Daphnia pulex: one gene and its partners. The protein of the gene in region 1 binds, or shares a complex with, the protein of each later gene. Links are inferred from orthologs where the notes say so. Each region holds a gene or a part of one and is shown in the gene's direction. Other genes may lie near its edges. The genes, in order: general transcription factor IIF subunit 1-like, general transcription factor IIH subunit 5-like and DNA-directed RNA polymerase II subunit RPB2.

What was found.
Region 2: general transcription factor IIF subunit 1-like (region 1) and general transcription factor IIH subunit 5-like share a complex: the UniProt entries of both Homo sapiens proteins name them as parts of the TBP-based Pol II pre-initiation complex. The link is inferred for Daphnia pulex from reciprocal best matches to the Homo sapiens genes GTF2F1 and GTF2H5.
Region 3: general transcription factor IIF subunit 1-like (region 1) and DNA-directed RNA polymerase II subunit RPB2 share a complex: the UniProt entries of both Homo sapiens proteins name them as parts of the TBP-based Pol II pre-initiation complex. The link is inferred for Daphnia pulex from reciprocal best matches to the Homo sapiens genes GTF2F1 and POLR2B.

What each region holds. Positions count from the first base shown.
Region 1 is NC_060018.1:348,830-355,782, reverse strand, and holds general transcription factor IIF subunit 1-like, read left to right. Parts: upstream 1-2,587; 5' UTR 2,588-2,896; coding exon 2,897-2,914; intron 2,915-2,973; coding exon 2,974-3,009; intron 3,010-3,067; coding exon 3,068-3,141; intron 3,142-3,208; coding exon 3,209-3,486; intron 3,487-3,566; coding exon 3,567-3,866; intron 3,867-3,931; coding exon 3,932-4,178; intron 4,179-4,242; coding exon 4,243-4,502; intron 4,503-4,561; coding exon 4,562-4,637; intron 4,638-4,688; coding exon 4,689-4,889; intron 4,890-4,951; coding exon 4,952-5,159; 3' UTR 5,160-5,319; downstream 5,320-6,953. Other genes in the region: regulator of microtubule dynamics protein 1-like, read right to left, coding at 1,117-1,158, 1,230-1,344, 1,409-1,546, 1,608-1,915, 1,975-2,123, 2,185-2,414, 2,478-2,560; uncharacterized protein LOC124188758, read right to left, coding at 5,450-5,587, 5,648-5,738, 5,791-5,892, 5,953-6,082, 6,170-6,284; uncharacterized protein LOC124188749, read left to right, coding at 6,580-6,785, 6,845-6,953. UniProt on the Homo sapiens protein: TFIIF is a general transcription initiation factor that binds to RNA polymerase II and helps to recruit it to the initiation complex in collaboration with TFIIB. It promotes transcription elongation.
Region 2 is NC_060021.1:7,406,865-7,412,467, forward strand, and holds general transcription factor IIH subunit 5-like, read left to right. Parts: upstream 1-2,386; 5' UTR 2,387-2,395; coding exon 2,396-2,488; intron 2,489-2,772; coding exon 2,773-2,880; intron 2,881-2,950; coding exon 2,951-3,040; 3' UTR 3,041-3,068; downstream 3,069-5,603. Other genes in the region: septin-1-like, read left to right, coding at 95-127, 226-331, 396-482, 546-669, 739-873, 943-1,060, 1,120-1,229, 1,308-1,445 and 4 more; perilipin-2-like, read left to right, coding at 4,568-4,678, 4,746-4,937, 5,016-5,235, 5,303-5,475, 5,547-5,603. UniProt on the Homo sapiens protein: Component of the general transcription and DNA repair factor IIH (TFIIH) core complex, which is involved in general and transcription-coupled nucleotide excision repair (NER) of damaged DNA and, when complexed to CAK, in RNA transcription by RNA polymerase II.
Region 3 is NC_060022.1:1,080,105-1,087,011, forward strand, and holds DNA-directed RNA polymerase II subunit RPB2, read left to right. Parts: upstream 1-2,305; 5' UTR 2,306-2,456; coding exon 2,457-2,475; intron 2,476-2,539; coding exon 2,540-4,025; intron 4,026-4,096; coding exon 4,097-4,643; intron 4,644-4,720; coding exon 4,721-5,182; intron 5,183-5,245; coding exon 5,246-6,256; 3' UTR 6,257-6,433; downstream 6,434-6,907. Other genes in the region: kunitz-type protease inhibitor 1-like, read left to right, coding at 1,585-1,642, 1,736-2,037. UniProt on the Homo sapiens protein: Catalytic core component of RNA polymerase II (Pol II), a DNA-dependent RNA polymerase which synthesizes mRNA precursors and many functional non-coding RNAs using the four ribonucleoside triphosphates as substrates.

The sequences.
Region 1 (6,953 bases):
GACATATCATTCTTTCTCTTTGGGTGCATTTCATTTTCGGCCATATAAGTGTCGATCCGTCTTCTTCCAGCGCGGCGTTTTCCAATTGGCCAGTCTCGGTTGGATAACCGTAGGGGTTACGTCACGCGGACCCGTAAAACTATCGATGCGTAACAACACAGTCTGAGTGCCGGGACGTTTCAACGTGTAGGCAAATAACTGTTGGCTCTCACGAAACCTCTCCTTAAATTTCCCTATTAGGAATTGTGTGCGCATATTCCAACAGGTGAACTCCCCGTCCTGGGCCCCTCAAGGCTCGTGCGCAACGCGGGACTTTCCCTCTGAAATAGTAGCTTCCACTTACACCTACACACAATGCCAAAGTGTGTCATATACTATTGCCTTCGTTTTATCTCTACCCGCACGAATTGTATACGCAGTTGGTTATCTGTTGATTTACAGACGCCAGACGAACGAACCAGTTCGGTTGCCATACAACCAGGCGGAGTTGTACACAATTTTAGATTCCAAGCAGACACACACACGAATGATAGTGAACGAAAATAATCGAGGACTTACTTTTCACGTGATCGCCAAACAGACTGCCAGAAAATTTCCACAACCACCTGTTTTGCCTAATTAAAGAAAACAGGATTTTCTTTTAGTTGAATCCAACAGGGAAGAGATGAAACAAAGTAAAAACTTGTAGAAACAAACTCCTGACCTAGCAGACACAGTCAAATAAACAAGTCCACAAGCTCAGAACTACACGAAGCAACTCACAATGCCGACGGACCGTCACGTACAGATAACACATACGTCGTATCCTTTCCCTTCATATGGCTGGCGGGGATTCTAGCTCGGCACATTTCGGGCTGTGGTGACACGCAACGCTACCTATCGGACCTATCGAGAACAAGTGAATGAACTTTGTATTCGTAAACACGCACGGGGAAATTTGGGAAACTGTTGCACTATTGCATGTTGTACCGATAACACACACACAAGGAAATCATTTAATAATAAAAAAACAAACATTTTTGATTAAATTTCAAGGTAAACAGAAGAGGCGCATACATTTTTCTTTATGTGGAAGGATATGGGTAAATATCCTCGAGCGTCCTTGGAGCCAGCGGCCTATCTGATGGAATTTAATAGCTTGACTGCCTCGTGTTTGGCCTATGATATCAATGTAAAACCATTTTTATCAAACAATAAAATGTAGAAAAGGTTAATGCGTTATATGTCACCTCCAAATCTTCTGACGAGGCGATAGCATAATCTCGAGCTCTGGTCAAATAAGCGATAGCTTTTTCTTTATTGTTGAGCCGCAAATATGTTTTCCCCAGCATCAATAAATTCGTACTGAAACGAAACCATTCAAAATGCACAATTATTTAGAAAAATGAAAAATTAAACCAAGCCGTACCTGTAAAAATTCGGCTCAACTTCTTCCGCTCTTAGGAAATACTGCAGTGCCTCTTCGTAAGAAGATACGGGCGGTGTAGCAAACAAGGTTGAGGCAATTTGCCTCTGAAGCCACGGCAATTCAGCAACAGAAAAGCACCTAAAGTTGCACGAAAATGTGTTACGTTACATACAAAAGAAAAGTTGTTATCTTGTCATACCAGTAGCCTAGCAAATGAAATGAAGTTGCATCCTTTGGGTTGAGTTCACACGCTCTTTCTATGTGTTTCTTGACGACAAACGATTGAGAAATGCGCTCCTTTAAGCCCTCGTAGGACGCCTTTTTATCTAACAAAATAAACATCCACTTGTGAGCAGCAAAGTTTTCCGGATCAATGAGCAGCGCCCCTTCAACATAACCGTATGCTTCAAAATCTAATTCTTTTTGTTCAATTGGACTGGACGATAATTTCGCTACTTCATACGTCGCTCGTGCCAGTCGCCAAAGAATTTCGGCATTATCTTCGGCCTAAAAAAAGTTTTTCCAACATTAAAACAGAGACTGACAAATCAGTTTATTCTTATTACCTTGTAGGGCAACAGAAGACTTCTCAATTTGGTGTAGGAATGCTCATTGTACAAGACATCAGCTTCAGAAATAAGATTGGTCTTATTTTCTCTTTCTTCATCAACTTTTACACTAGCAGAGACTGCAGGTAACAAACCCAGCATCCATCCTGCAGATTAACAAGTTATTGATTGTTTTTGTTACATGAATTCAAAAATTAGGCAACTTACCAATGTTTCTTGAAACTAGAGCTGGTTTCTTAGGAACAACATTCAGGAATCTTTTCCTGTACACAACAAATGCATGGTAAACTATTCCATATATTTTTCTCCCAGAGAACGATAACACCATGACGAACGCTTTCCACAACAGAAAGAAAATAAATGACGAAAAACGAATTAGGCAGTTGAGAATAGATAGGTAATCTAATTCCATGGCGACCAAAATTGGAACTAACGAACTTCAATAGTTGAAAAATGAATAATCATTTACTTTACTTGTAATATTACTTAACAATTTAGACCTCTTTATAAAAAAACTTTTTGATTGGCCATTTTTGGATATTTTAATAAGGTAAGTGAGAAATAGCCTTTCACAATTTATCATGTGGTTCAAGGCGGGAAGTCGACAGTGCAGTCTCGACGTGAAAAGAAAAGAACTGAAGCAGACGAAAACTGAACTGGGTCGTCGTCGACTATTTTTCTTCAGTATCGGGTCGGGTATAAAATTCGTTGGCGCTGTTTAAAGTGTCCCAATATTTTTTGGCATAGAAATTTCGATCACCACCCCTTAATTTTGGCCTATAATTTAGTAACGTGCATAGTTGGGTTAGTTATTTACCATTCGTGACGAACTTGTGACGAACACATCGGTGGTGTGTCTCGATCATTGTGTCGCCGGTGAGAAGTTGTTTTGTCAATCGTTTTTCACCGTCACATCATAATGTCTGCTGTTAACAAGGTACAATTTTTTTGTCTTCTCAATCAGTTAATTCAATATTAATACATGTGTTTCTCAAGACTCCTACTGGTGGATCAACTCCTGCTGCTACCAGGGTAAAGACATTTTGGTTTTTAATTAATTAGTTCAACATAATAATATGTGTTACATTAGACTCCAGCTGCTGGTGGATCAGCTCCTGCCGCTGCTGCTTCTAATGTTCAGACTATTGACATTCGAGTCCCCAAGTAAGAATATCAGACATTACCATCTAGATTTTTGCCTTCTTAAACCGAGTTTATAATGTTGTCACAGGAACATAAACAAAAAGCTTGCCATCATGAGATTCAATGGCTCAATGGGTATTGACTTTGTACAATGGAAAGATCCAAAAATGGAAAGGGAAAACAACCAAGTCACATTCAAAGGGTTCAATGAAGATATGCCAAAGTTTGGTGCTGGGAGTGAATATGGCAGAGAGGCTCGTGAGGAAGCTAGACGGAAGAAGTATGGCATAATAAGCAAAAAGTATAATCCTGAAAACCAGCCTTGGATTTTACAACATGGGGGAAAAAGTGGGAAAAAGTTCAGAGGTATACTAAAGTTGGAAACCAAGCTAAGATAGCAATAAGAAAGTTTAGTAATGTGCAATTATATTTATTTTATTAAACAGGAGTAAGAGATGGTGGCATTAATGAAAATGCATCGTACTACGTTTTTACGCAAGCACCAGATGGTGTGTTTGATGCCTTTCCTGTGCAAGAACAATACAGTTTTCAAGCAGTTCAAAATTACAAACCACTGAGTATTGAAGAAGCAGAGGAAGGGTACAACATGAGGAACAAAACATACAACATGTTCAATGTCATGATGAGAAAGAGACTAAGGAAAGACGATGAAGACGCCGAAGAAGAGGGCGAGGAAGAAGGTGAAGGCAAAGGAAAGAAAGGCAAGAAAAAGAAGGGAGCTAAAGGTAGGCAACAAGCAAAAGTTCCACCATAAATAATGTCACAAAATTATAACAACTTTTGCATTCAGATTCTCGTTTTGGTGATGAATTGGACGATATGATGGCATCTTCCGATGACGATTCTAGCGACGGCAATGATGATAACGACGACGATGATGGAGAAAGTAAGAAAAAGAAGAAGAAAGGCAAGAAACCTGTTAAGCCGAAGAAGAAGCGAAAGAATGCGTCCGATGATGAAGCTATCGAAGATAGCGATGATGGTGATGGTGAAGGCAGAGAGTTGGATTACATTTCCTCTTCCGACGATGACGAAAGGTATGTCATTAATCTTGATGCATTTGTCGATTTTCTAACACACCCGCGTTGTTCTTTAATCTAGTGATTTCGAGAAAGAAGAAGCAAAGGACGGACTAAAGGGTGTTGCCGAAGAGGATGCTCTCCGCAAGTTGCTTAACTCGGACGAAGAAGATGAAGACGAAGAAAAGGAGGAAGAAGAAGACAAAGACAAAGAAGAGGAAGATGCTGAAGGTGCCGAAGACCAGCAAGGTGATAAGGCTTCCAAAGACGAAAAAGGCGACAAAAAGAAGAAGAAAGAAAAAAAGAAGAACAAGGATAAAAAGCCCCGCAACGAGGATTATGGTAATATCCATTTAAAAACATCGTGTGTTTGAGTCAAATAATAACGAAACATTTATCAGGATCGTCAAGCGACAGCGGTGCCGAGAGCTCAGCATCCGAACTGGAGAAAGCTAAACCGAGCCCAAAAATGAAACCGTAAGTGCAGTAATTTGGTTTCCTGACAGTTAACTGACAAACTATTTCTAGGGGGAGTGCCAACAGTTCTAGATCAGCTACTCCGACGAAACCTGAAACATCGCCGCCTAAAACAACGCTATCAGATAGCAAGCGAAAGGGAACACCTGCAGTGTCCGATGCTCTTACTGGCCAAGCAACAAAGAAACCTCGATTGGACATGGCATCCGCTGCTTCAGCTGCCTCTGCCGCTTCAGCTGCATCATCATCTAGGTATTTATAAATAATGAACTAAAATTAATCCTGAAACGTTATGTATATTTTTTCTTTTACAGTGCCAATGAAGGAGTCAATGAAGAGTCTGTTAGACGTTATTTATCCCGCAAGCCAATGACAACGACCGAATTGCTTCAGAAGTTCAAAAGCAAGAAAACTGGTTTGTCGTCGGACCAGCTTGTCCATCACATTGCACAAATTTTGAAGAAGATCAACCCCGTGAAGCAGACAATTAAAGGGAAGATGTATTTGTCGATTAAGGCTTAGCGACAATAACGATGATTGGTGTGTTCTGTTTGTGCTGCAATCACTATTGCTACTTTACTGAAATTATCTCAGGCCTTCCCTTTACGGTTTATAAAAACGGACTAGAACGGTTGTTAAAATGCGTGATTTTCGGAACGATTAAACAAATTTGCAGTTGTAAGTTTTGGTATTATTTCAACAAGTTATCTGTTATTGGAAACACTTCACATTTTTAGATGAAAAACAGCCATTGAACTGACAAGTTAACATTTCTTGGTGGTGAGCAAGGTGCTGGATATTCGTTCAGAATACTATAGAGAGAAAACTTGAAGTCGCTTTGACATGTCTGCTTCGTCGTCTGTGCAAGCCCTTTTCGCGTTTTCAATCAAGAATTCAATATCTTTCTGATAATCGGCGGAATATTCGGCGACACTTTCGACGGAGAATTTCTGGACTCGGAAAATAAACATTAAAAGTGTATCAAAAACTACAAACATAAAGTAACCTACATTAGCAGCTTCTTTCATATAATTTGCAGCAGCTTTCCAGGATGGAGCAAATCCAAATGATACAGTCTTATTCATGACCATTGTCTCAATACTAAGAATTGGATACTTTAGTTTCAGCACAAATTTTATCATAACATGCAAACCTTCTTTGAATATCATATGTGACAGAAATCAAGAGTTCATCAACTTGTGGACATAGATATATAAAGTGAGGTCCATCATTGGTATTGACAAATTTAGTTAGCCTAATTAACACAAAGTTGAAATTCTGCAGTTAAAGAAGTATGCATGAATCAAACACTCACCAATTAATTTTCTCCTCATCGTAGGCTTCATCTTCTGTCCAGTGCTGAAAGTAACATTTAAAGTCGATAAGCAGGAATGTGGCTTGGGATGCTGGGAAATAGCAAGAGAATGGCACCAAGCTTTCTGAGTCTGACCAAATGGATTCAATATTAGTTAACATACCTTAGTATCGGTAAGTGATTATATTATTATTCATTCTTTAGCTCACTATCTTACAATGTATTTGAAAAGATCGTTCGAGTCTTTCTATAAGTACGTCGTTATTCAATTCATTGTGAAAAATGGCAATGGGTTTATTTTTCCACATATGATTTTCCTTGATAAGAAGCATTTCTGACAAAAATGACGAGAACTAAAAAAGAAAGATTCAAAATTTCAAATCTTGAATGTCAAGACTCAAGAGCTCGGTCTGTATAGCTGTCTCACTCGCGCTCTGTTATTAATCTAAAAATTCCAGCAGATGTCTCTAGTGAACGGTTGTCGTCTGCACTTGTTCAGTTGTTTGTTTTTTATCAAAGTCGTCTACTCTATACTTTCTCTTCCCAGAATCTATTTGACAGAATTGGAATTTCCAAAGGAATTGTGCAATTAGCAGAATTTCAAGGGAATTTCCGATTAATGTAGAAATGGAATCTTTAGCTGATTCTACGTGTAATCTTGCAATTAAAGAAGTACAAGCAAGTTTAGACGACGAAGATGCCGATATAATTTTGAAAACAAACGATGGGACGTTGAAAGCTCACAAATTCGTTCTCAGGGGTTGCCCATATTTTGCAGCAATCGTCGATGGAAACTGGAGAGAAAGTCAAGCCTCGATCATCACCTTGGATATGTATGATACATATAGCACTACTAACAATTTACTAGATTACAAATTACTTTAAATTTCAGATTCTCGTACAAGTCAGTAAGATTTGTCGTTGAGCATATCTACAAACCAAAGGAATCAATTGACAGTACCCAAAATTTAGGAGAACTTGTTGCATTAGTAGATATGCTT
Region 2 (5,603 bases), on another chromosome or scaffold:
GTTTTCGGTCGTGGACTTGATATTTGATAACTGTCACTCTGTTTTTTGATTATTTTTATCTTCTTCAAACTCTTGTTTATATTATCTTCATATAATGTCTGCTGAGTCAATTAAAAATCCTGGCGGGGTAACGGTTATTTGTTTTCTTAATTTTTTCGTGCGATTTGTTTACTGTCTAAATGAAACACGAATGATACTTAAACATGTACTCTCTTATTGAAACAGTTTACCAACCCGGAAATGCCGGGATACGTAGGGTTCGCGAATTTGCCTAACCAAGTTCACAGAAAATCTGTTAAAAAAGGGTTTGAGTTTACTCTGATGGTTGTCGGTAATGACAAAGCAATTGTATTTCATGTCATCAACTCTAAAGATTTTTATTTTGAATCCATTAGGAGAAACTGGGCTTGGCAAGTCAACACTAGTCAATAGTTTATTCTTGACTGATCTTTATCCTGAACGAAATATTCCATCAGCTGGAGGTTGGTGCTTAGAATTTAGCTAGAAAATGCTTCAACGGTCATAATAGAATAATTTTTTCACAGAACGCACAAAGCAGACAGTCAAAATTGATGCTTCTACTGTGGAAATTGAAGAAAGGGGAGTCAAGCTCCGCCTTACAGTGGTTGATACACCTGGATTTGGAGATGCTATTGATAATACAGATTGGTAATGAAAAAAAATCACTTTTTAAGGCCCATTTTTGATTTAATTTTAAATTGTCTTAATTTTGTTTAGCTTCAGATCAATAATTCAGTATATTGATGACCAATTTGAGCGTTTCCTGCGCGATGAGAGTGGGTTAAACCGCCGTAACATAGTCGATAACCGGGTCCATTGCTGTTTCTACTTCATTTCTCCATATGGACATGGGTATGATAGATTCCACTCGTGATTCAACTAGATTTCACAGAATGTATTGGCTAATCTTTTCCTAAATAGGCTTAAACCCCTTGATACGCAATTTATGAAAATGCTGCATCACAAAGTCAACATCGTGCCTGTAATCGCTAAAGCAGATATGCTAACAAAGAAAGAAATTGCTCGGTTGAAGAAAAGGGTAAAATTGTGACCAACATTTAGATTTATTATAAACTTGTTTAACTAAAAAATTATTAGGTCATGGAAGAAATTGAGGCAAACGGAATTCGTATTTACCCACTTCCCGATTGCGATTCGGATGAAGACGAAGACTACAAAGAGCAAGTTCGTCAGCTTAAAGACGCAGTGTATGTAATAATTCATTCAGACTAATAACAATTATAATTCATTCATAATAATAATAATAATATAATTCATTTATTCAGACCTTTTGCTGTATGTGGGGCCAATACGTTGATTGAAGTTAAGGGCCGAAAGGTCCGCGGACGGCAGTATCCATGGGGTGTCGTTGAAGTTGAAAATCCTGAACACTGCGATTTCATTAAACTCCGAACGATGCTGATGTAACTTGTTTGACTCGTCAAAGATCGAAAATCTTGCATTGCACTAACGTTTAATTCTTTCATTATTTAGTCAACAGCTACAAGATTTACAGGAAGTAACACAAGATGTTCACTATGAGAACTACCGATCAGAACGTCTTGCTAAAGGTGTAGCTTCGAATCGAAAAACCGCTGGGCCAACTAATTCCACCGCGCCATCGGCTGCTCCGGAGCAGATTAGTGAGAAAGAAAAAATACTTCAGGTTAGTAACTATTGTGTTATTAATAGACAATGGAAATAGTGTTTCGACCGTTTGCATCATTGTTTTGTTCTCACAGGAAAAAGAGGCGGAGCTACGACGTATGCAACAGATGTTGGCTCAAATGCAAGCACAAATGCAACAACAACAACCTCAATAGCACTGTGCGTCGTCTTTAACAGCAATTTTCAGTTGTCACTTAAACCAAAAGGAATTCTTCTCTACTGTTTTGACTGTTTATTCAGCTTTGATTGCTGTTTCAACACCCTTGGCACTCTTACCTTCCAATGTGAAGATCTTAGGTTTCCTCGATAAAATCCCATTCAAGTGCCAACATTTAACAAATTCGCTGTGCTTCATTATTTGGTCACTTCACTAGTAATTTTCCTCATTTGCGTACATTCGAATTTTTCTTCCATGTAGGGCAATTAAAGCCCAGATGCGCCTCGAATATCCTACCCAATCATTTTCTTTTTAGTGTCTCGGACTCTCGGTACTGGTCGCAGTATTTCAATATACAATTTTTTCAGACTCTTGCTTCCTTTTTCCCATTAAAAGATTTAATTTTTCTTAGTTTTCTTGAAGTGAAACCAAACCTTTATGAATGGAAGTCTTGTAAATTTTTATATAATGCGCCAACAAACTCCTTTCCCGCTCAATTTAAGACGCCACCTACCGACGCCAATCAAAAGCTGGAAGTGCTGAAAGAAGATGCCAAAAATCCAAAATGGTGATCAGACGATCAGTTACTTACTTACTTTTTACCAATGGGGCAAGATGGTAAACGTAACTAAAGGAATTCTGGTAATAATTTACGGTAAAACTTATAAATGCCACTTGATTTATTATATCTTTGTATTTGAAGTATGGTATTTTAACTTACTTCAATCACTAGTGAAATTGACTGTGCTGGTAAAAGTTTCTTGTCAGAAAGAAAGCACAAAATATTCGATCGGACTATCCCGTGGAAATAGTCATAGATTTAGAAATTAATAAGTATCTCAGGTGGCAACTTATAATGGTTTACCTTTTCTTTACATGGTGCTTAATTGTTAAATTTATACTTGAATTTGTATTATTACCCAAAGGTTGAATGTGATGCTGCTATGAAACAATTGCTTCTTCATTTAGACGAGACACATGCTCTAGGCAACAAATTCATAGTTCAAGATTTGGATGAAACTCACGTTTTCATTGTAAAATTTAAAAAATACTTCTATTTTCTCATATTTTGTATTTTTATCTTTTTGACATTTTCTCTGTTAGGCACCTGAATATCTGGAAGTTTTGCAGTCTAGAATTGATGATTTGATGGACAGGATCAGTTTTCCTTTGGCAGAAAGAGAAATCGAGTAAATTATCTATCATCATGAATTCATCTCAGAGAGAGTCAGCCCGTCAGAAGGATGCCAATTCCAGAAGGGTTTTGGATGAGGCAGCTCGTAGGAGAAGAGCAAGGAAAGCATTGGAAGCACTTGAGCAAGATAATTTTCATGATGACCCTCATGCCAATTTAGGTATTTTTGTAAGTTGGCTAGTTTTCAGATCTTTCATTAATTCTGGATATTTATGCAGTACTAAGCAAAAAGATCCCCAAGTTTGAAGAGTCTCTTGATGGTAAACAAACAAGAAGAAGGAAATCTAAAAATTTCGAAATTTTCAAACAACGGTATTTTGTTTAATATTAATTGCTGAAACGAAGTGTAATTCTATTGAAGTAATTTCTCCTCTTTTACAGGTTTCGAAAATCCTTTGCACAGCTGTTGGAGGAAGAACAGGTTAATCGCCCAGAGCCCCCAAATTATGTTTCAGCTCAAGTTCCACCATCTAAGTTTCCCGAACGTCATTTTTGTGCTGTTTGTGGATTTACTTGTAGTTACACCTGTTTATCTTGTGGCGCAAGGTACTGTAGCGTCAAATGCTTAGGTACTCATCAAGACACGCGTTGCTTGAAGTGGACCGCCTAATAATATTCCATTGCTTTCTTACTTGTCATCTCATCAATAAACCCTTTTCGATTATACTTTTTCTTATTAAATGAACAAATAAATCAGCGCTCCTCTAACTATGATTAAAGTGTATTAAAATGCTCATATAAAAATCCTTTTGATTTTGGGCAAATTATAAATATGGAGCAACAGCACAAATTACATGAAGCTCGGTAGTCCTAGAAAATTTCATTTGCTGAAGCCTGAAGGCTTGATTATTAAGGAGGTAGGGGGCAATGCACGTGTTGGGGAAGAGGGTTGAAAAGACAGTCACAACAAATACTTAGAAAATGACACGAGGCGACGAAATACATAAGCCTATAAATGACCTTGATAGTACGTCTGAATAACGCTAAAGAAACTCGACCCCTTTTTATCAGATCGAATGGTTTCTCCTTTTCTTCCCATCCTTCTTGCACTTGCGTCCCATTTGTCGCATTTCAGGCGCATTTATTTTAGTATATATATTCGTCGAGATCTCGTTTCTTCATTCAGTCATCGTGTTCCGTCGTCTTGAGTGGATCTCTCCAGAGTTCCAGCGTCTACGGTATACAATTAGCGTGAGTCTGTTTTATTTTAAATACAATAAGGTAATAGAAATTGATTGATGTTTAATTAAGCTGTGTATAAATAAGTTGTATTAGAGTACTTTGTTTTAGTTTCTGGAGTTGCAATTAGAGTTAAATAACTGAGAATTTATTAAATAAGAAATTGTTTCACTTTGGAGTGTTGATAAGTGAGAAATTAGTCATAAAAGTTAACAGTATGCTATTTATTCGTATTTATTACGATGTTTATTTTTTAAGTGATCATGCATCATAAATATCATCTTAAAGGGAAAAGAAACAAGGGCAAGCAAGCACCACAAACACCAGCAGCACCAAACTTCAAGAAGATGGTTCATTCTGACATCCCACAAACCCCAGAGTTCATCTCTCGAGTTGCCAATCTTCCTGTTGTTCACTCTGCTATTGACTATGCTTCTGATGCATACATCAAAGCCAAGGTAAAATTTTCAAGTAATCTTGTGTGTCTCTGTGATCGTGATTCTTACATGTATAATATAATTGCAGGATTACAGCCCGTCGCTGATCAAAAAGACATGGTCTACCGCCGAAGACACTATAAACTATGCTGCTAGTTGTGTTTTGCCGATCGTTCAAACAACGTTTGAAAAACCTATTCACGCTGTGGATACATTGGCCTGCAAAACTCTTAACAAAGTAGAGGAAACATTACCAGTTGTCACAAAGACTCCAGAAGAGGTATCTTTTTTAGTGCAGTTACACAGTCATTGTAAAGATAATCATGTATTTAATTTAATTTTGTTTAATTATTTACAGATCATGACAAATACTCGTTCATATGTCAGCGACAAACTGCAACCGGTACAAACAGGTGTTTCGTCTGCTGTCAACTTGGTTTCCGGGGCAACGGATAAGCTGCTAAACAACCGTCTCGCCCGTCTCACGCTCCATACCGCGGAATTTACCGTGGCCACTGTTCACGAATGTATCGACTACATCATCCCGCCGATCACTAAAGAAAACATTTCTGATGAATGTAAGCATTATCTGAAACAATTGTGTTCCCGTTTTAAATTATTTTAATTCCTGCCCCATTGTCTCAGGTCACGTAATTCCTCCCGAACCTTCCGGACAAATTATGTGGACCATTCGCAGAAGCTTTGATGCTGCTTTCAAAATTCAGAATCGTCTCTTATCCCGTGCCCAGCGAAGTCTACACGATCAAGCTCGTAACGCACTTGTTGCTGTTGGTGGTCTTGTAGATCTTCTTGGATGGGTAATTTTTAAATATTTAACTCAAGTCTTTATAGTTTGATGTTCATATTTTGGTATATTATTTAATAACAGGTTCAATTGAATTGGCAAGAGCTGATGCAGAGAAATGTAACTGACAAGTTACATGAA
Region 3 (6,907 bases), on another chromosome or scaffold:
AATTATTCGGTACTTTAACTGAACATAAGTTTCTATGTTTTCCGATTTCGCCCAGTAAAAATAACATAGCGAATAAGAAAAATGTGCGGAACCTGTTCTTTCTCTCTTGAATCGAAGACGCCGAAAAATTTTGAGAACATGTAAACCAGTTTGCTGTTTATGCGCTTCGTTTTTAGATGTATCTAAAATCGTGATGTTGCTTATTCTCCACCCTGTGGACAACTTGTTGATGATCAAGCTTGATAATTTTTTTTTTCAAGGATGACTTGCTGGCGAAGACTTCTGGAATTTGCCAGTTACGGAAAAGGTGTGACCAGTCGCAGACCCGACCTATAAAAACCCGCCATCCGACACATCTTCCTCAGTCGAACGCAGATATTGCTCAGTACAACCACTTATTACTCGCAATATCCAGTAATTTTCAAACTGAAAATGTCATTCATTATCCTGCTCTGTCTTGTTGCCTTCGCTTCGGCTGCTCCCCGTAAGTTAAATCATTAAAATATTATTAGAACATAAAATCTAGCTGTTTAATTGAAATTGGCTTTTCATTTTTTAAATTTTGACAGAACGAGCTGCCGTTCCAGTCCTTCAATTAGACCCCGTTTGCCTATTGCCTCCAGTTGCTGATTCTACACAAAACTGCAATAACTACTCCGTCAAGTACTATTTCGATCCGGTCGATGGCGACTGCGAAGATTTCCTTTATTCCGGATGCGGCGCCACTGAAAATGTTTTCAACTCCGAATTGGCCTGCGAACTCCGCTGCGAAAATGTCCACGATCAATTGAACAGTCACGAGAGCATCGAGGTCTTCGGGCGCTATTGGGATTAATTGCAACGCACATCTTTTTTCATGCTCTGTTTCAATCGTGCAATAATTTTTTTTCAGTTTGATGTGTTTGTTGAATTTCAATCCAGGTTATACTGTACCAACTTATTATTGTTGACATTTTTCTCAATCCGCAGTTATCTTTTTTTGTTAACTTCCCATGTAATCCGATATAAATACAGTTGAAGTTTGATTAGAATACATTTTTTCAGTTTTAATATAATCAAGTTGGTTTACAATTAAAATTTAATTTAATTCAATAAATGAATCAAATCAATATAAATTATACAAATAAAACGGAAAACATAAAATTCGAAGCCAATTCGAATTCTCTCTATAATTCCGAGCTTATGTTTAAGTAAGTACATTTGAAATTCTGATATAAAGAGCCCGGAGCTAAATAAATAATTGTGCAATCATGTCGTGCATATATTTTTCAAAGGAAGACAATGATCAAGATGATGAACTGTACAAACCGGTTATCGATATGTGTGTGTTTAATTCTTTTGCGATGCGCGCTTTTCTCTTTTCTCTTCCTTTAGGGGTGAATGATTAAGCGGTTATTTTTATTTTGGTTACATCGCGAAAGGTCAAATTCATGTTTTTTCCAGCTATAATGCCCGATTGCAGGGCTGTAATTATCTCTAGCGGGACTATAAGTACCAGCCGGTCGACTCCTTCCTTCTTCAGTCGAAAGCAGAAGAAGGTTTTTCCCATTTGCTCCATTCAACTCCATAAACTTCAACCGGAAAATGTCGGCTACGTTCGTCGTTATGCTCTGCCTCGTCGCTTTCTCCTCTGCTGCTCCTCGTAAGTGATTTTTTAAATCTAAAATTTTAGTTTTATGTAACATGGGCTTTTTCAAGCAATGCTCTTTTACGATTTATGAATATATTTGAATAGAATTGGCGGTCCCAGTACCGGTATTTGCTCAACGACCATTGGATCCGGTTTGTCTCTTGCCACCACTCAACCCCAAAGTGCGTTGCAATCAATTTTCCATCAAGTGGTACTACGACTCTGCTACCAGGGATTGTGAAAAGATTTTCTACACTGGCTGTGGAGGATCTGAAAATCTATTCGCCAGCGAAGACCTTTGCGAATTGCGCTGTGATCAAGATAATTTCGACAGCTACGAGAGCGTTGAGGACTTCCAGCAATATCCCTCGTTGCAGAAATTCAGATATTTCGTTCTTGGCAAGTAATCAATTGATGTAAAATGCTTTTCTCTAGCACAACGTTGTTATTCTTTTATTTTAAAAAGTAATTTAAAGAATTGTTCTTACATTGATCACATGGATTGTCTTTCAATGTAATCTATATTATTCAGTTAAAATTAATTTTGAATACACTTCTTATTTACTCACACAATACGAGTTGTTTCGTGTTTTAAAGAAAATATTTTTTTACCGACTTTTAAATAAACCGGCGAAATTAAAATATATCCGGCAACGCCACCTTGCGTCTCATTTTCGATTTGGCCGGCAGATGTCGAAATTGAGTTTTTCCGACAAGTGCGACAACAGTGAACGAAAGTCGACTGCCGGCTGCAAAGGCCAACGAATCTTTACATTGCAGTCGTTTTCTAATTCATAATTAATTTGTCGATTCGTATAATAACACAATGTACGATCAAGACGAAGGTAACATCAAAATATGATGATATTCATACATTTTTTTCTCATTCTAACGTGTCTTTTACTTAAGATCCGATCGAGGATGAAGATGGCGAGGAAATCTCTTCAGAGCTTTGGCAAGAAGCCTGTTGGATTGTCATCAACGCATATTTCGATGAAAAAGGTCTTGTGCGACAACAGCTTGATTCGTTTGATGAATTTATTCAGATGTCTGTACAAAGAATTGTTGAAGATTCACCTGCCATTGACCTTCAGGCAGAAGCCCAGCATTCTTCGGGGGAAGTAGAAAACCCTCCGAGATATGTCCTAAAATTTGAGCAGATTTACCTCTCGAAACCTACACATTGGGAGAAAGATGGTGCTCCGACAGCCATGATGCCTAATGAAGCAAGACTAAGAAATCTCACCTACTCTGCCCCGTTGTATGTTGATATCACGAAAACTGTGCACAAAGAAGGGGAAGAGCAGGTCGAGACACAGCATCAGAAAACATTCATTGGCAAAATTCCTATCATGTTGAGATCCACTTATTGCCTGCTGAATGGAATGAATGATCGTGATTTGTGTGAATTGAATGAATGCCCTCTCGATCCTGGTGGATATTTTATCATCAACGGCTCAGAAAAAGTATTGATTGCTCAAGAGAAGATGGCCACAAATACAGTGTATGTCTTCAGCATGAAGGACGGCAAATTCGCTTACAAGACAGAAATTCGTTCCTGCTTGGAACACTCGTCACGTCCAACCTCCACCTTGTACGTCAACATGTTGGCACGTGGTGGTCAGGGCATCAAGAAATCCGCCATCGGCCAGCGTATCATTGCCATTCTGCCCTACATTAAGCAAGAAATTCCCATTATGATTGTGTTCCGAGCCTTAGGTTTCGTGGCCGATCGAGATATTCTCGAGCACATCATCTACGACTTTGAAGACCCCGAAATGATGGAAATGGTGAAACCTTCGCTGGACGAAGCCTTCGTCATCCAGGAGCAGAATGTTGCCTTGAATTTCATCGGTGCTCGCGGTGCCAGGCCTGGTGTCACCAAAGAGAAGCGTATCAAGTACGCCCGTGAGATTCTCCAAAAGGAAATGTTGCCTCACGTTGGTGTGTCCGACTTTTGCGAGACGAAGAAAGCCTATTTCCTCGGCTACATGGTCCATCGCTTGCTGCTGGCTGCCTTGGGACGCCGTGAGCTGGACGATCGTGATCACTACGGCAACAAACGTCTGGATCTCGCCGGACCGTTGATGGCTTTCCTCTTCCGAGCCCTTTTCAAAACTCTCATGAAAGAAGTCCGAATGTACGCACAGAAATTCATCGATCGAGGAAAAGATTTCAATTTGGAACTGGCCATTAAGACCCGCATCATCACCGACGGACTCCGTTACTCGTTGGCCACAGGAAATTGGGGAGACCAGAAAAAAGCCCATCAGGCCCGCGCTGGTGTCTCTCAGGTGTTGAACCGATTGACTTTCGCTTCGACCTTGTCACATTTGCGTCGCCTCAATTCGCCCATTGGTCGTGACGGTAAACTGGCCAAACCTCGTCAGCTCCAGTAAGTCATTGATTTCAAATTATTTTCATCGGCTTTTGTTTATTACATAACATTTTTTAAAACTATTTTAGCAACACGCTGTGGGGAATGGTTTGTCCAGCCGAAACGCCCGAAGGAGCTGCTGTCGGTCTCGTCAAGAATTTGGCTTTGATGGCCTACATTTCAGTCGGTTCCCAACCGTCGCCCATCCTCGAGTTTTTGGAAGAGTGGTCCATGGAGAACTTGGAAGAAATCGCTCCGTCTGCCATTGCGGATGCCACCAAGATTTTCGTCAACGGTTGCTGGGTGGGTATCCATCGCGACCCGGAGCAGTTGATGGCCACCCTGCGCAAACTGCGTCGTCAGATGGACATTATCGTGTCTGAAGTATCGATGGTGCGCGACATCCAGGACCGTGAAATTCGAATTTACACGGACGCCGGCCGTATTTGTCGTCCATTGTTGATCGTCGAGAACTGCAAATTGTTGCTGAAGAAGCGCCACGTTGACATGCTCAAACAGCGCGAGTACATCAATTTCAGCTGGCAGGAACTGGTGGCCACTGGTGTAGTCGAGTACATTGACACTTTGGAGGAGGAGACGGCCATGATTGCCATGTCGCCCGAGGACTTGCGCCAGGTAAATTTTCTGCATTGATTTTTTCTTTCCCTACCCCACCCCATCCAGCCGTTGAATGTTTTGCTTTGTTTATCCAGGGTAAAGACGCCTACTGTACGACGTACACGCATTGCGAGATTCATCCGGCCATGATTTTGGGAGTTTGCGCCTCGATTATTCCGTTTCCCGATCACAACCAGTCGCCTCGTAACACTTACCAAAGCGCCATGGGTAAACAAGCCATGGGAGTGTACATTACTAACTTCCACGTCCGGATGGACACTCTGGCCCACGTCCTGCAGTACCCTCAGAAACCTTTGGTCACGACACGCTCCATGGAGTACCTGCGCTTCAGAGAGTTGCCCGCCGGCATCAATTCGATTGTTGCCATTCTCAGCTACACCGGATACAACCAGGAGGATTCCGTCATCATAAACGCTTCCGCCGTCGAACGAGGATTCTTCCGCTCCGTCTTTTTCCGATCCTACAAAGATCAAGAGTCTAAACGATCGGCCGATCAGGAGGAAACGTTCGAGAAGCCTTTCCGCGATCATTGCCAGGTAACCGATCAGAATTCCGGAATTTTTTAACTTCTTCGGTAATCACATTTTGTTTTCGTCTAGGGAATGAGAAATGCCATTTACGACAAGTTAGACGACGACGGCATCATTGCACCTGGACTTCGTGTGTCTGGCGATGACGTGGTTATTGGCAAAACGATCACTCTTCCGGAGAACGACGACGACCTGGAGAGCACCACTAAAAAGTTCTCGAAACGGGACGCCTCCACTTTCCTGCGTCACTCGGAGACGGGCATTGTGGACCAGGTGATGCTGACGTTGAACGCCGAAGGCAACAAGTTTTGCAAGATTCGCGTCCGCTCGGTCCGCATCCCGCAGATTGGCGACAAATTCGCCTCCCGTCACGGTCAGAAGGGTACGTGTGGAATTCAGTACCGCCAGGAGGATATGCCGTTCACTTGCGAGGGCCTGACTCCCGACATCATCATTAACCCGCACGCCATTCCGTCTCGTATGACAATTGGTCACTTGATCGAATGCCTTCAGGGCAAAGTGTCGGCCAACAAGGGCGAAATCGGCGACGCCACTCCGTTCAACGACGCCGTCAACGTCCAAAAGATCTCGAACCTCTTGCAAGAGTACGGCTATCACCTGAGAGGCAACGAAGTGCTCTACAACGGCCACACTGGTCGCAAGCTCAGCGCTCAAGTCTTTCTCGGCCCGACCTACTACCAGCGTCTCAAGCACATGGTGGACGACAAGATCCACTCTCGAGCCCGAGGTCCGGTCCAGATCCTCGTCCGCCAGCCCATGGAAGGTCGTGCCCGCGACGGCGGTCTCCGATTCGGAGAGATGGAACGAGATTGTCAAATCGCCCACGGAGCGGCTCAGTTCCTGCGCGAGCGTCTCTTTGAAGTTTCCGATCCTTACCGCATCCACGTTTGCAACCTCTGCGGAATCATCGCCGTGGCCAATTTGCGCAACAACACGTTCGAGTGCAAGGGCTGCAAGAACAAGACGCAAATCTCCCAAGTTCGGCTCCCCTACGCTGCAAAGCTCCTATTCCAGGAGCTCATGTCGATGAACATTGCACCCCGTTTGATGGTCATCTAATCTCCCCATTTTCTTTTCTTCTTCTTCTTTTTTTCTCCCGGGGTTCCTTTTCATCCGTTTCGATTAAATCCTACCCCCTTCTTGTGTTTGCCCGCCGGGTTTTTCTGAAATTACGTGTCGACTCGAAAAGTTGCCGAATTAAACGGTGGAAAGATAAAAAGACGAGAAAAATTCAAACTTGTTTTATCGACCCTGTCGTTATTTAAATCTTTTTTTTTTTGTTTCTTTCCTTTTTCGCCAGAATCCTTCCAACAATGACAGATGGAGAAATAAAAAGGAAGTAGCCAGGACAAAGGGAAAAAAGTGAAGCAGATAGACAAAGTCAAAGTCTCTTTCTCTAACTCTAACCCCCCCCCCCCCCATCCCAGCTCTTCCTCCTTCATCTTATTGCATCGCCGAAAAAAAGGGGACGGAAACAATAATGATGTTTGCACTGGAGGAGAAGGAGTTGGGCAGAATTCCGCTCCGAAGAAACTATCGATCCATCACGTTGAAGAGAGTAAGTGACTTTGTGTGTTTCTTTGCTCAAGTATGTAGTAGAGAGTCCCGGCAGTGTACAGGAGTTGGAACAAATTGGCGCCTTGTTTGTTTGTCGCCGCTGTCAATCCGTGATTGATCGATACTTTTTTTTACGCGCAGATAAAAATCTGC